4 linked regions of the Danio rerio genome follow. The protein of the gene in region 2 purifies or fractionates together with the protein of the main gene of each other region. This does not show direct contact. Links are inferred from orthologs where the notes say so. Each region holds a gene or a part of one and is shown on either strand. Other genes may lie near its edges. The genes, in order: g3bp1, pabpc4, mkrn1 and ddx6.

What was found.
Region 1: the proteins of pabpc4 (region 2) and g3bp1 purify together in Homo sapiens (affinity purification with mass spectrometry; 4 studies listed by BioGRID and IntAct, with this or other methods). This does not show direct contact. The link is inferred for Danio rerio from reciprocal best matches to the Homo sapiens genes PABPC4 and G3BP1.
Region 3: the proteins of pabpc4 (region 2) and mkrn1 purify together in Homo sapiens (affinity purification with mass spectrometry; 3 studies listed by BioGRID and IntAct, with this or other methods). This does not show direct contact. The link is inferred for Danio rerio from reciprocal best matches to the Homo sapiens genes PABPC4 and MKRN1.
Region 4: the proteins of pabpc4 (region 2) and ddx6 purify together in Homo sapiens (affinity purification with mass spectrometry; 3 studies listed by BioGRID and IntAct, with this or other methods). This does not show direct contact. The link is inferred for Danio rerio from reciprocal best matches to the Homo sapiens genes PABPC4 and DDX6.

Annotation. Positions count from the first base shown.
Region 1 is NC_133189.1:30,206,740-30,211,035, reverse strand, and holds the start of g3bp1 (ras GTPase-activating protein-binding protein 1), read left to right. Parts: upstream 1-1,447; 5' UTR 1,448-1,563; intron 1,564-2,679; 5' UTR 2,680-2,701; coding exon 2,702-2,796; intron 2,797-2,880; coding exon 2,881-2,962; intron 2,963-3,873; coding exon 3,874-4,047; intron 4,048-4,296. UniProt on the Homo sapiens protein: Protein involved in various processes, such as stress granule formation and innate immunity. Plays an essential role in stress granule formation.
Region 2 is NC_133192.1:26,709,091-26,712,657, reverse strand, and holds part of pabpc4 (polyadenylate-binding protein 4), read left to right. Parts: intron 1-1,909; coding exon 1,910-2,025; intron 2,026-3,213; coding exon 3,214-3,353; intron 3,354-3,425; coding exon 3,426-3,520; intron 3,521-3,567.
Region 3 is NC_133179.1:12,864,252-12,868,505, forward strand, and holds the start of mkrn1 (probable E3 ubiquitin-protein ligase makorin-1), read left to right. Parts: upstream 1-1,437; 5' UTR 1,438-1,450; coding exon 1,451-1,524; intron 1,525-2,268; coding exon 2,269-2,397; intron 2,398-4,254. UniProt on the Homo sapiens protein: E3 ubiquitin ligase catalyzing the covalent attachment of ubiquitin moieties onto substrate proteins. These substrates include FILIP1, p53/TP53, CDKN1A and TERT.
Region 4 is NC_133193.1:46,839,421-46,843,451, reverse strand, and holds the start of ddx6 (probable ATP-dependent RNA helicase DDX6), read left to right. Parts: upstream 1-1,180; 5' UTR 1,181-1,221; intron 1,222-1,516; exon of another isoform or gene 1,517-1,604; intron 1,605-4,031.

The sequences.
Region 1 (4,296 bases), on a different chromosome or scaffold from region 2:
TTTCTAATAACTGATTTATTTTATCTTTGTCATGATAACAGTACATAATTTTTGACTAGATACTTTTCAAGACGCTTCTATACAGCTTAAAGTGACATTTAAAGGCTTAACTAGGTTATTTAGGTTAACTAGGCAGGTTAGGGTAATTAGGTAAGTTATTGTATAATGATGGTTTGTTCTGTAGACAGTCGAAAAATGTTTAGCTTAAAGGGGCTAATAATTTTGACCTCAAAATCTTTTTTAAAAAAATTAAAAACTGCTTTTATTCTAGCCGAAATAAAACAAATAAGACTTTCTCCAGAAGAAAAAATATTATCAGACATACTGTGAAAATTCACTACTGACCTACTGTATTGTCGTTAAATAGAGAAAACATTTACAATTAACTTTTATTCTAAATCTTAAACCTTATTTTTGATATAATAAACCTATAAAAAGGCTTGAAGCACCGCGAAAGGCCCATATTAAAATTAATTTGAAAGCTAAATTGGCTATTTTTGTTATCCATGAATTTTCAAATAAAATCTAAAATTATGAAGCTCTATATTATTATTATTCTGTTTTAATTTTTTATTATTCAAGTGGCCAAATTTTGAATGAGGAAAGTTAAAGCTCCACTTTTGAGAAAAAGAACCACCCCATTTCATCATGCTGACTATGGGCTTGACATATATATATATATATATGTCATAAATATATATATATATATATATACATAAATATATATATATATATATATATTTAAGACATTAATGTGATAGTTGACCCAAAAATAAAAAAATCTGTCTCTTCCATCTTTTACTACTCGATGACTCTTTACTTGCTTGTTCAAACCTTTCGGTAAATAACATTAGGTCATTACTGAGGCTGAAAAAATTGTTATGTTGCTATATATGAATATTGCTATATTATGTCTATATAACTGTAGAAATAACTTTCAATAATAATTTTAATTAAATCAAAAGCCCTGTCATTAATTATCTAATTACATAAATGAGTACAACACAGTACAAAATGTCTTGTCTTGCTTTAGATGAAGACTTGTTGACATTTTCTTAATCATCTACTCTTTCTTTTCTTTACTCTTTGGCGCTTTCTCAAATGACTTACATTGGCAGTTGAATGTTTGTAGTGTACAGTTTCTAATGTGCACGGAAATCACCAAGTAACTCATAGTTTCGCAAACAAAAATGCGCACAGTAACAACACGGTCAGCATCGGCAGCTGCGCAATGGCTCACCACATAGTTCACGTACGTGCGGGACAGACAAACTTGCTATGATCATTTCTTTCACCCACGTTTTCAGTTGGGTAATTTTAGGGGGTTTACGGCAGAACGAATTATGATAGGATGGGGGGTTCCAATGCGGTGTTCTGATTGGCTGCTGGGTTCTGCGATCATGTGGGCCGTTGAGTTTAGTAGGCGCTGCTGTGAAACCGGCAATTCGCCACACGCGCTGCTGCCAGTGTCTCAGCTAAAAGCTTCACAGCTACCGGCGCAGGAGGTGCTTCACCTAAATCACGTCAAACTCTTCCCAAAAACACATTACTGATTCCCTTTCGGTAAGTTCACTTTAGCTTTTTAAGTTAAATATGTTCTACAGTTTATTTTTCACTACATCTTTTTTGTTCTTGTGCGTTGCGTACTGCTTTCTGTTAGCTCCTGCGCAGCTAATAGCCATGTGCTTAAAGTATGTGATTAATCTAATATAGAGGTATAGTTCCGGTAGTTTTTGTATAAAAAATATTTCATATTATGAATGCTATGATTATTTCAGACGATTAAAAGGTCAAATCCGCCTTAGGTCGCTGGCTGGGTCTTTTTGTTAGTCGACGCTGTGAGGATTAGCTTTAGCTGCATTTGCTTGACCACCAGCCGACATTTCCGACAAAGAGGGAGCACACGTTCACGGTGTCGTTAGGGTGTGTTACGCTTCTTCTGATGTTTAAGATCAGTTTAACAAAATTTCTGCGTATTGTGTTGTCATTCGATATATATTACGATCGTGTAACATTAATTGAAGTCAGCGCGGTAACGTTACTGGGCACGTGCCTGATTCATGAATGGCGAATGAAGAATTCTAGGACGTGGATTAAATTGTGACCTTGATCAAGTAGTTTTCGTTAACCTTTCGAAAACGAAAGAAATATTGATTATCTCTTAGGTACGGGGCTCAAGATGGCAACGCGTCGCTGTTGTCCAGGCCTACTTGGCTCAACCTTACAATGAATTCATCAGATTGAAACAGTTTTCCAATAGGAATAATTTCCCACCCTTCACTAGGAGTTAAAACATCTAATTGAACTGCTGTTCTTTTAGGGCGCGACGGAAATGTATAGACGCTGTTGTTAAACGTCCTCATTGCGTCTAACGTTACGTCTTCATGAGCTTAACAAAGGGATTTGTTTCGGTTTCAACAAGCGGCCTGTCCCGATTTCCTTCATCAAATATCGTTTATAGCGGTTGATATTCAAATGAGTTCCGTCAGGAATGGGAGTTGCCTCTATCAGGATTTTCAAATCCAGATAACGTTAGCTTTCCTCTGAAGGACGCATAAGGAGATGTCGCAGGGCAGTTCCTTTTGTGGTCCTCAAGAAGCAACCATGTGTCTTTGGAACCACATAAGGGTGAAGAAACAGTGGAGGTGCTTTTTTTATAATAAGTCATTTTTGTTTTAGTTGAAACCAGTTGACCAAAGAAATGGTGATGGAGAAGCCAAGTGCCCAGCTTGTCGGGCGAGAGTTTGTCCGACAGTATTACACCCTGCTGAACCAGGCTCCTGACTACCTGCACAGGTGACTTGCCCTTTGTTAACGTATAACATTCCTTTTTTTGGTAGTTTATATTGCAGTAAAGCTAAACTTTGCTGTTGTCTTAAGGTTTTATGGCAAGAACTCCTCATATGTACATGGTGGACTGGACAACAATGGAAAACCAGCAGAAGCAGTATATGGACAGTCTGTGAGTATTATATTACAGTTGTTGTGAATTAAGTTGCCCCTTTTAGACTATTATAACCGAACCTAACATTGTTTTAGAGGTTTTCTGGAATAAGTTTTGTGCGTCTTGGGTAAAAAAAACCCCCACATTTTTGCTTTTTTTAAGATACATTTCACATTACTTCTAAAAGATTTTTCAAATAATTAATTTGAAGACAGTCTTTAAAAACCTTTATTTCCATAAGCTATTTTGTGCCAGTCTATAAACAACAGAGAGTTCAGTTTAAGCATTTACAAGCTTGCATGAGAGAGGATTTAATCATCTACGCCTGAATAAGCCCAACTTCCCTTTACAAACCAATAAGACCACCTTTTAACCATTTTTTTAGCAAATGCTGTGCAGTGCTGCAGTGACTTCCTCATCCTGAGTGAAGCATGATTGTGGGTGTACCCTTGGTCTTGAATGTGCATGCTCTACCATGTAAAGTGGTCATCATGGAGTTCCTCTTTGACACCAGGGAGAAAAAAAATCCAAATCAAGTTTCAATCAAGAGCAAATTTTAATAAAAAATAATCCATATGTGCACAAAAATATTTCCATTTTGTGAATTAAATCAGAATCTAACTCTTACATGGTTTAGATGAATCTGCAGGAATTGAAACTATTAATCCAACAACCAATCATATTTGTTTATCACTGACGCACTTAAAGTTTTGGGGTTTGCTTCACCAATAAACCTCTCCATTTTGAATTAAAGATGCAAAATGTTTAATTTAAAGATTTTTACACCCTTTATATCTCGCAATTCTCTATTTTACACTTCATGTAAAGTACATATTGAATAAATGTTATGTGAAAATGTGAGATATGGTAGCTGCTCTTATGTAATTCGGTGCTGTAAATCATTTTTTATTCTTCTCTCATGTGAACAGGAAATCCATAAGAAGGTGATGGCTCTAAGCTTCCGTGACTGTCACACTAAGATCAGACATGTCGATGCTCATGCCACCCTGAACGAGGGAGTGGTGGTTCAAGTTTTGGGGGAGTTGTCCAATAACATGCAGCCCATGAGGAAGTTCATGCAGACATTTGTTTTGGCACCTGAGGTACGAACATTCCTTCATAAATGTGTTATCTGATAAAATTGCTAGCATGTCCTGAGGTGAATTAAACTATTGTGTATTTGAAAAATAGTTTTCATGCTATCATAGATTTATTGTACTTATCTGCATTGGCAGATGTTCATGGATCAGTAAAATGGAAGTGAATATGCCAACTGGCATAATAGGAATCATTGTAATATTTAAAGCAGGGGTCTCAAACTCAATTTACCTGGGGGCCGCAGGAGGCAAAGT
Region 2 (3,567 bases):
TGAAATCTTGTAGATCTTCTTCTCGAATACATGCACTGTGCTGACCTCCAAAGGCAAACCACAGTAATTGCATGACTAGTCAATGTCAGTTATTTACACCTACATCAACAGATGATTATAATGATAACATATGCATCTTTAAAACACCAGTCAATGTTCATTATGCATGTTATTCTGAAAGTGATGACAACATTTTTGTTGAGAATGAGTTTTAAAACAATGGCTATATTATTATAGTTATAGTTTTTGTTCTCTGTGTTCGGGTGGATCAATGCTCCTCAGTTAGAAGACCACAACAAACTTTCAAATGGGCTGCTGGATGACTATAAATTAATTTCTATAATATTACGTTAAAACTTCACAATAAGGTTGCATTAGTTCATGTTAGTTAATGCATTTACTAACATGAACAAACAATGAATACATTTATTATATGTTCATGTTTGTTAATCTTAGTTAGAAAGTTCAAAAGCAGTTCATTATTAATTTATGTTTACTCAAGGTGCATCAACTAATATTTTTTAGCATGACTTTGGATTTTAATAATAAGTTAGTAAATACATCAACTAATGAAACCTTATTATAAAATGTGACCAATATTACTAACATAGTTAATTTTTAAATGTAATTAAAGCATGCACTCATACTTCTTTTTCTTCCTACATGAACAGATTTTTAAAAACTTATTGAAATTCCTGAAATTATAGAATGTATTCTCGTTTATTAACCATAATACCATAATATGTTATGAAATTTGAAAGCTGATAAGTGAACATTCCTGTTTATCTGAAAAACAATGCTGACGTTATTCTGCTTTGAAAATGTGTTTTCTGTGCAGGAACGCTATCTTTGTTTTGGTAAATTTTAACCTGCCCAATGCCAGTTTAGCCATTTATATTTCAGCACCCTGGGTTGCTTTGGTGGAACATTGCATATTTCATTCATTCATTCATTCATTCATTCATTCATTCATCCATCCATTCAGAGAGGCTCTAAAAGTATGCGTCCATGACCAAAATGCGACCTCCAGTGGACAGTAGAAGACTCCGATATGAGACACAGATTCTGTTCCACATTAGGTGGTTATTAATTAGCAAATGATGTAAATATTATGAGAGTAAACATTAGGTGAGCAGGTTATATTGTAACCGCTTGTCCTAACAACACGCTTCATGACGAGATACACAATAGTGAGCAATTTGGCTGTTTGCACCAGACTAAACGCGACAGCGATTTAAATACAGCCATTCAGAAGCAAAGAATATGCACTCACTCACGAAATGGTAAGGTTTATAATCTAACAAATACACAATAAAAACTTCTTTAACATTATTAAATCACAGATATGCGTTTAGATCTAAATTTCAACTTCAAACTGTTTATTTTATTTTCAAGATCTGCTGCTTTCAGTATATGGCAATAAATGTCAGGTGAAATGGCATTCAAACTCACATTGTTAGCATTTAACACTGAATAAAGCACATGAGGTGTACCTGAGGTGATCATGGTCAGTTTCTGTTGTTCACCTGGGAGAAATAAAAGCCGTTTCTAATATATCAATTCGAGGTGTTGGTTTTGACAAAAAATCCTTTTAATATGTAAAATATTCCTCCTATCTGGTGCTGTTGCTTTTATTTAGAACACGGTTTAAATCACTCGATCCTGACCTCAATCTGGCAACCTGCGCTTGCGTTTGTTTTGATCCAGGAGTGCGATACCTAGTTCAACCACTGGGTGTCAAACTTACATTCGGAACCTTTAAAATCAGTGTGCTTTTATTTTTCTTTTATTTAGTCATTTATTGAGAGTTTATTAACACACATCACAGAGAAGCTGGGCTAGAAAAGCTGTATAAGAAAAACTCGTAATCTGATTGCTGAAGTAGTCTCATCTTGTGTCTGATTATTAGGTGGTGTGCGACGAGAACGGATCGAAAGGCTATGCCTTTGTGCATTTTGAAACTCAGGACGCAGCCGATCGTGCCATTGAGAAGATGAATGGAATGTTGCTGAACGACCGCAAGGTGTGAGTGTCTGAGCATAACCTTAGTCATATGAAAGGAAGGAGGAGTGCTGGTTTGATGAGCGACAGCGATGCTCAAGAGAGACATTTTGGGTGATCAATTAAAGTTAAAGGATCAGAATCATTTACTGAACTTTCAAATATATTCTGACTTTTAAAAATCATTAAACAATGAAATAAAAAATGTACATACAATTAAAAGCCAATTTAATTGGATTAGTGACAAATCTCCATCACTTAAGGCTGGCACAAGATCATTTTTGAGTTAAATCCCCTGGAACACCTTGTATTGCCATGTATTAGACAACAACAGGCCACTTTTTTCAAATTTTGGACTTATGTTTGGGTTATTTGAAACCTAGTCCCTACTGCCTATTATTTTTAATGGAATGTTGTAATTGCATTACTGTCTGGAAAATCAACAATATTGTAGGCCTTTTTCTAGGGGTACTCATGTCTTATATACAATCTAAGTTTCTTGGTTTATTTACTTTTTGAAGATGTTATCTGTTTCCGATATATTTGTATTATATGTGTATTATTGTAAAACAAATCTTTCATTCATTCAATTTTCTTTTCAGCTCATTACCTTTACTAATCTGGGGAACCATCACCATCTTATCCAGCACATGTTTTACGCAGCGGATGCACTTGCAGCCGCAACCCAACACTAGGAAACACCCATACACTTTTGCATTCACACTAATACACTATGGCAAATTTAGCTTCTTAAATTCACCTGTACTGCATCTCTTTGGACTGTGGGGGAAACCAGAGCACCCGGAGGAAACCAACACAAACACCGGGAGAACATGCAAACTCCACACAGAAATGCCACCTGACCCAGCTGAGGCTCGAACCAGCGACTTTCTTGCTATGAGGCGATTGTGCTACCCACTGCGCCACCTTGATGCCCCTAAAACAAATCAATAAACATAAGTTATAATGAGTTTAAATAGTGATTTATAATATATATAATATGAAACCAATTGAGCTCAGATTTAATTTGTACCTCACCGACTGTCAATGCATGTACATCAACAGTTAGTTTTCCAACATTTTAGTGTTTGTAAGTCACACTTGTCTCTGCTGCAGCTGGTATGAGTCAACAGTTGTTCTGCAGCTGTCACTCCACTGAGTCTGTATTGCATTTCTGCATGAGTCACATTTATGTCTGCACTTTTTTTGTAGGTTTGTGGGCCGTTTCAAGTCCAGGAAGGAGAGAGAGGCAGAAATGGGTGCCAAAGCCAAAGAGTTCACTAATGTTTACATCAAGAACTTTGGCGATGACATGGATGATCAGAGACTGAAGGAGCTCTTTGATAAATATGGTAAGAGTATAAATAATAAATGTTTTCCCAGTGGTTGGGCCTTTTTTCTGAAAATTTGGTGTCTACCTGCAGGTAAAACACTGAGCGTGAAGGTCATGACTGACCCCACAGGGAAATCTCGGGGATTTGGTTTTGTTAGCTACGAGAAGCATGAAGATGCTAACAAGGTACAGCAAAATTGATGCTTTAGCAACTGTGCAAAAGATATCTATTA
Region 3 (4,254 bases), on a different chromosome or scaffold from region 2:
AAAAAGTTTAAACCACGAGTGGTGACAGGCAAGGTAGTTTGATTGACATGAAACAAAGACAAACAAGATGTCTAATTCTGCATGTATTTCAGAGCCATTGAGAAATCAGTCAGTAGTTACCTCAGCAATAGATGATAGCAGGGTGATTTCACTTATTAGCTTAGATTAAACTTGTTTTTTTTTTTTGAGAATGTACAGTTGAAGTCAATATTATTATTGCTAATTTTATACACACTACCGGTCAAACGTTTAGGATTTTTAATATAACTAATTTTAATGAAGATTTTTCAGCATCATTAATCATTATTCCAGTCTTCAGAGTCACATGATCCTTCAGAAATAACTAATATTAATTATTATTGTTATTATTATTATTGGGCAACACGGTGGCTCAGTGGTTAGTACTGGCTCGGCTGGGTCAGTTGGCATTTCTGTGTGGACTTTGCATGTTCTCCACCTGTTCATGTGGGTCTGCTCCAAAGTCCAAAGACACGCGCTATATGAATTGGGTAGGCTAAATTGTCCTTAGTGTATGTGTGTGAATGAGTGTATGGGTGTTTGCCAGTGATGGGTTGCAGATGGAAGGGCATCTGCTGCATAAAGCATATGTTGGATAAGTTGGCAGGTCATTACAATCTCTGATTAATAAAGGGACCAAGCCAAAAAGAAAATAAATGAATGAATGTAATTGTGCTGGTTAGAGCCTCGGCTAGGGTATTTCTATGTGGAGTTTGCATGTTCTTCCTGTGTTCATGTGGGTTTCCCCCCGGTTCCCCTGTTTCCCCCACAAGTCCAAAGACATGTGTGTGAATTGGGTAAGCTAAATTGTCCGTAGTGTATGTATGTGAATAAGAGAGTATGGATGTTTCCCAGTGATGGGTTGAGGCTGGAAAGGCATCCGCAGCGTAAAAACGTGCTCGATGAGTTGGTGGTTCATTCCACTGTGGTGACACCAGATTATTAAAGGGACTAAGCCGAAAAGAAAATGAATGAGCTCCTTGTTTGATCGTCTTTAAAAAGGAGTTTGCCACCTATGCAGAGGCTTTAAAAATAATGAAGGGTGAGAATGCAAAAAACAATTGTATGATTTGTTTTAAAAAATATGGTTTTATCTAACCCCTAACAAAGTTTCTGTTTAATGTCTGGATGATTTGTTAATTATTGAATATTTTATACATTGTGTTTTTTATGGCTCTATAATTGATTCAATATCTGACATTTTTCAGTCGGTTTGTGAAAGTTTACAACGGAATGGAGTTAGATGAAATTGTTTTTCTCTTGGGTCTTGGTTTATCTTCGGTTTCCCGAAAACACCCGACCCCTCTGCGGCTTTTTTTGTTCACCGAAAACATTCGATCACGTAATGCGGCTTCGGTTTTCCGAAAATGGCCGAGCGCAGAACGGCCGCTTTCCGGAAGATCCGGGTGCTAAGGCTTCAACATAAACAGCAATGGCGGAGGCAGCGGCAGCGTCAACAGCGGCTCCAGCAGTTATCGGAGGCTGGACGAAGCACGTAACCTGCAGGTTAGTGGAAATCCGCCGATAAACGCGCTTATAATAAAACGAAACGGTCACTAATATAAAACACAAACGGCTGTCTGTGCGTCGATGACGAGGCTTCGGTTATCGCCGCTGTCTTTGTGCTGAACTGGATGAGTGTGTGTGTGAGAGTGTGTGTTTGTTATTGTAACGCACAGATCAGTCCGACAGCGGCTGTTTTTTTGCGTTTCTTTCTTCCTCTGTTAGTGTATCTCTGCGACATCCGAGTTTGTTCAAAACAACACGACAGCGCATCTTCCTCATAATGCAGCCAGTTTGACAGCTAGGAAGCCATAAAATAAAACCTTGAGTTTACTATTCTGGGATTCAGCCAATGTGTCAGTGTCAGCCTTGATGATTTATGCTTATGAATTAATTTATCAGGCTTTATCCAAGTCTAGTCATGACTTTACAAAATGTACGTTTTTATTTAGCCACACAGTCAAAGGTATAACACGACTTAAAGCACAAGTAATATGCAATGTTTACATTAGCACTATTGTCAAATAAACGCACATATGAAGAACTAATTAAGTCTATCCATATAAAATATGTGGTCAGTGTAATGCATATTATAGTCATGTCCTTCTAAAGTCGTTTTTATATTAATATGACCTGGATCTTAATAATATTTTGTTATGAAAATCTTGTTTATTAACCTTCGGATAGCTAGATTATATTTCAGTGGCACCAATCAAGGCCAGTCTCAAAGCCATCCTTCATTTCTAGGTATTTCATGCACGGGCTTTGCAAAGAGGGTGAGAACTGTCGATATTCACACGACCTCAGCAGCTGCAAGCAAACCATGATCTGCAAGTTCTTCCAAAAGGGATGCTGTGCTTTCGGGGACCGTTGCAGGTATGAGACACAATGATGTAATGTGTTGCATTATAATGTGCACCAAAACATCCGCTGGCGCTCATGACCAGATCTGAACAGATCTTGCATAACATCAAAGGTAATGTAATCTGTATTTCTGTGCTGGAGAGCGTAACACGTGAGCGGGTTTAAATGCAGTAGCGGTAAGCAGGGCTTCTGAGAAGCGTTGTGTGTTGCTTCATTACATGCCTGCGACATCTGAGACGCGGAATTTTTTTGTAAACAAGTTGTTGGGTTAGTCGCTTTCTTAAAGAGGCAGTTTATCCAAGTCATTATTTAGTTCTTCCTAAATCTGTAGGGGTTTTTGTCGAAAACAGGTTTTTAACCCTCACCCCATTTACGTTTGAAGAGTTTAACATTTTAAAAATAAAATATGGCATAAAAGAATACATTTCTTAGCATATCTCTTTAAAATAAATGAAAATGAGTAATTGTCCAATGCATTTCTGTTAGATTAATGTTATATGCATAGAAATAAAATGCACTAATATAGAAGTGGCCTCCAAATGCATCATTTGCATGTTCGGGTATCTATATCTATAGACCACATAAATGCAAATGAACAATTTGCAGACCTTTTTTTGTTTCTTTATTTTGAGTCAAACATGAAAATTACTTAAAAATTTACTTGCATCAAACTTGTTTGCGTTTTATATTTTATTTTGATTATTTTTTATAAATAAGGTATTTTGAAGAATGTTGGAAACCGCATTTAACTCCTTAGTATTGTTTTACCCTAATTCTTCCAAATTTCCTCATTTGTGTTTAAAAAAAAAAAAAACATAAAAAAAAAAAAAAAAAAACGTAAATATTTTCAAGTGTACTTGCTGTCTAAATCTACGTAAACGCCAACAAGTGCACTCGAAACAAACTAGCCAACAAGCCAACCACCTTTGGCCAATGCAGTCAAGTGCACAGGTGCTTGAAGCGGTGTAAAAATTAGCCTGTGAGCCAGACAGTTCAGACAATGTTTGTCTCATATCTGTCTGCGGTCAAGTGTATCCCCATAGTAACTGCTGCCCCCAGCTCGGCACTATGGGAATGTCTTTGTTTGGCGTTGGCTGCTCTATGACAGCATTACATCTGACTGAGAGCTCCCTCTTACTCTCCTCCTAAGGTCTGTTTCCTATGGATTCAGGGTCTTCAGCATAAATATCTGATTTTTGTAACTAGACTTTGTGGAATGATTAATGGTGATTAATCGCATTCAAAATAAAAGTTTGCATTTACACAATATGTGTCTGTCTAATGTGTATACACACTTATATAAAATGCAAAAGTGAATAAATCAGGGGGAAGAATTTTATATATATATATATATATATATATATATATATATATATATATATATATATATATATATATATATATATATATATATATATATATATATATATATATATATATATGAATACACACACCCAAAGCAGGAAGAATTATTATTATTATTATTATTATTATTATCATCCTGATTGCATGATATGCCATATTTAATATTTAAGACAAATATGTATTACACCAGACAGCATTTCTAATTATATATTTGTTTTGCATGAACATTGTCATTTATTTTGCCCTGATTGGACCATCTAAAAATGACACGCCTCAAATATATACATGCATGATGTGTGTATTTATATATACATAATAAATATGCACAGTGCATGCATATATTATGTAAATATTATGGCGAGTGATGTAAAAATTTGACATGATTTCTGAAAATAAAAGCATACAATTTGTTAGCATGTTAGCAAGTATTTGGACTGAAAATGTATAACAATTAACATTTAAATAAATAAATATATATACCATAAATATAATATATACCATAAA
Region 4 (4,031 bases), on a different chromosome or scaffold from region 2:
GTAATTTATAGGTGTATATACACGTGTTTTATGTATGTGTTGATAAGCAAAGTTTGATTTAAATCCTACACGGCACCTCATAAATAACCCTGAGCAAATACCTTACAACTCCATGTTACGTTACCCTGCATTACTTTGTGCCTCGCGCTCCCTATAAATGATCATTTTGTCCTATTTCTCACACATCTGTAAACACAATATCGACAAACTGATAGTAACAATTGAAAGGTGTTTGATAAAGGATGTCTCTCATCATAGACAATCATGATAGCCTTATTTAATACACTTTCTTTGTATATACTATTAATGCCCTTTTGTTTTATACCCAAGAACTTACTGGCTGTTGTTACCACCTTTCCCAGTGACCTCTTCTGGGCCTCAGAAGCATTTCCATACCAATAGATCACACAAAATGTTGCAATAATTTCAATAAAAACACTAGAAAATATGATCAACGATGTGTTGTCAACAATAAAAGACAATCGTTTCTTTAAGAAGTACATTCTCTGTTGCCTTTTCCTTATAGACTCAGTCCACTTACGTTTCCTGTCCAACAACACATCTAAATATATTTGGATGTAACTGCATTTAGGTGAATTGTATAAACTTAATTGGCTGCAGTGTATGAGTGTGTATGGATGTTTCCCAGTACTGGGTTGAAGCTGGGCATCTGCTGTAAAAAAAAAAAAAAAAACATATGCTGGATAAGTTGGCGGTTCATTCCGCTGTGGCAACCTCTCATGAATAAATGGACTAAGCTGAGAGAAAATTGATGAATTATTAGGTTTAATGTATATTATGTCAAACTTAAGGACACGTTCGTCATCGTGCTCAAAATTTATGTTTTTTCGCAACGAAAAATAAATAAATAACAGACATACTAATGCACAAAAATGTTACGTTACGTTAAAAAACTACTTTCTAGCCACATAAGTCAGTCTAATTAGTCATTAAACTACTCAAGGCAATTCATTAACTACCTCCAAACACCTCAGGCGTGCCTATCAACAGATTCCTACTTTGTGCACTTCAAGCCTCTTCAACAATAATAAAATAAGCATTATTATTAAAGATAAAATATGTTTTTAAATACCCAAATAAAAAAACAGTATGTCTAAACCACATGGATCCTTACACCAATTAGTCAAGTATAAACACGTTGAGCTAATTAAATGACACCCTTCACATGCCGTGCTTCAGCCAAGACTACAACAAGCTCAGGTAGGAATTAAACTGCGCTGCTATGTAATTAGGACGTTTTTAAAGCAAAATGTGTAATTGTGACGACCTCAACCGCTTACAAATAAATAAAACATAAATAAAACGAAATTCTAAGAGCTTAATTAACGTATTCTTAATATATATATATTTAACAACGCATTTGAAATGACGGCAGCATTAAATTGCGTTTTCTAAACAATCGTCATATGCGTTGCGTTTGTGTGGATTAGACAGGGCTCTGTCTCATGTGACTGATTATGGGAGGGTTTAAAGATGACTGGAAGCCATCTTACACACTCGCTTTACACCCCGAAATATGTCACAACTCTACACCTATAATTCACAAACACAAACACACTGAAAGATATTCTCTGCCACGTTTGGTAAGTTTGCAGAACGTCAAATCTACGTGTTGTGTTCTGGGGATTAAGTCGGTTTTGTGGGTTTCTTTGTGTCTTGGTGTTTACAAATTTGTGATGTCTTTTTGGCTCGCAGTGTTTGTGTTAGCTGATTTAGTTAAGAGTTAAATATGTTCTTGCTTCTGTTTTAGCGTTTATGAAACGAGCGTTTAGTTCTTTATACTGGTGATTGTGAATCTGAGGTTACGCGTGCGGCCTGTGTGCAAGCCAAAAGCTAACGAGCTTGAGCACTGCTAATATTTCCTTCCTAACAGCTTATATATTTAGATTTGCTTATAATAAAAGCCACATTCCATCGTATTATGATAACCGTGTTTGCTAAAGATTTAAAATGTATCCGACTATTAAAATCTGTCTGGCTTGAAGCCGTCAGCGGTAGCTGCGTAGCTAAACATTAGCATTAACGTTTGTTGCGTGACGCCGAGTTTCACGTTATGTGGAATCAATACGGTTAACCTTTAAGATGTACATTTTAGCTTAATAACTACAACGTGACACTGGTTATATCGTATAACATAACATTGTTTTTTAGTATTCGTGGAATGAGTTCAATGAACTATACGCTTTCGCTTAACTTAAGGTAACCAAACATTTGTTATGTCTAATTTTAAGCTCCACAGCTGTGTAGTCAACGTGCAACTTCACCTGTTTTTATAGATGCATAACAACACTGAAGTCACATTTATTAAAGTTTGTCATTTTTAAATGCTTTAGGTAAACGCGAGGCTGTTTTACAATGAGGCCTATCGTGTTGACATTGTGCCAGCTGCTGCTGCCATCATTATTGAACTCACATTAGACATTTAATAACGTTTATGGTCTGTTCATAGATCTGAAAATGAATTAAAGTTGTAATTGGTTACAAATTCAAGAGACTTTTTTATCTTGACACTTCTACCAGAGCTTGTCCCTGTAATTTCTGCATGAGTGTGTGTTAACTCTTTTGATGCTGTAATATTGCAGGTAATTGTAGAAGTATAAGTGTTAGTGCTAGTTTGTGGTAAAGATGCACAGAGCAATTAGCACACTTTTTGTTAAAAGAAAATTAAAATGATGGAACCTTTTATCAAACCCAACCTTAACCCTGATCTCATCTTGCATCACAAAGTTTCACATTAGACCTCATACGATGTCTTGCTTGGTCGACATTAGGCATGGGCTGGTATAAGATTCTGATGGTATGATAACCTCGGATAAAAATATCTCTGTTTTACGATATTGTGATTACTCCTTTTAAAATATATTCTAATTAAATGTCTGGGTAAAAAAACTAACTTTTTTTTTCTCCCCTTTCAACACAATTTATTTTATTTAGAGAAACATTTGATATATTTTGTAATGGTAAACATGTTAGGCTAAATAATTCAAATGAATCATTGGCTGCGTCCGAAACCGTATACTTCCATACTATATGGTATGCTAAAATCAGTATGCGAGTCGAGTAGTATGTCCAAATTCATAGAGTTCGAAAATCAGTTTGCGAGAAGTACCCGGATGACTTGCTACTTCCGGTGAGATTCCGGAGTGCGCATCCTATGCACGCTGCGCTGTCCCATAATGCCACGTGAGAGAATTCATAAATGGAAGTTAAGCAACGCAACTGATGCAGGTAGGTCACGTGACCATGACAAAATGGTGGATATAGTACGTCCGAATTCTGTCCATACTTTTCACATTCATACTGTATAGAACGTACGTTTGTAACTGCCGAGTAGTACATTTAAATTCAAAAGCAGTACCTACTGAGTAGTAGGCGGTTCGGACACAGCCTTTGACTAATGCTGTCTTCATTTGTTTAAAAAAACACAGATTTCCTTACAATTTAAAACAGCATCTTTGGATTTTTTTTTTGATTCCTTTCTGCTGGAAATACTGTTGTCCTAAAAAACCAACAACAACAAAAAACAAAACTTGGACATACCTTAGGAATGGTATAGTAGGAAACTTTTGCGGTTTTAAAACCTTGGCTTTTCCAAACCGTGGTATACCTTAAACTTATCGTCCCATGCCTCGTCGACATTGCTTGATCTAAGCACTCAATGACTAAGTTTACATTAGTAATTAAATTATTTGCCTTAATCTGAATAAGACAGTAATATGATTAAGGTGTTCGCATAAGTTGCAATTTGTATGTTCTTTTCATGATCCTGTTTTACATGTTGTAGCACAATTCAATTAACTTCATAGAATCGCCACGCTATTCACATTTCCTCTGGGATATCATGTAATTTCCGGTGTTTTAAATTTGTCGACTTTAACTGCAGTTTGGCACTTTCACTCAGGAACATTTCATGCATGCCTCCCCTGACAAATGAAATATTGGATGAGTATTTAATGCTGTAAGAGGGTCGTTTTATTGGAATTTGATAACGCACGCAGTATTGGAAACAT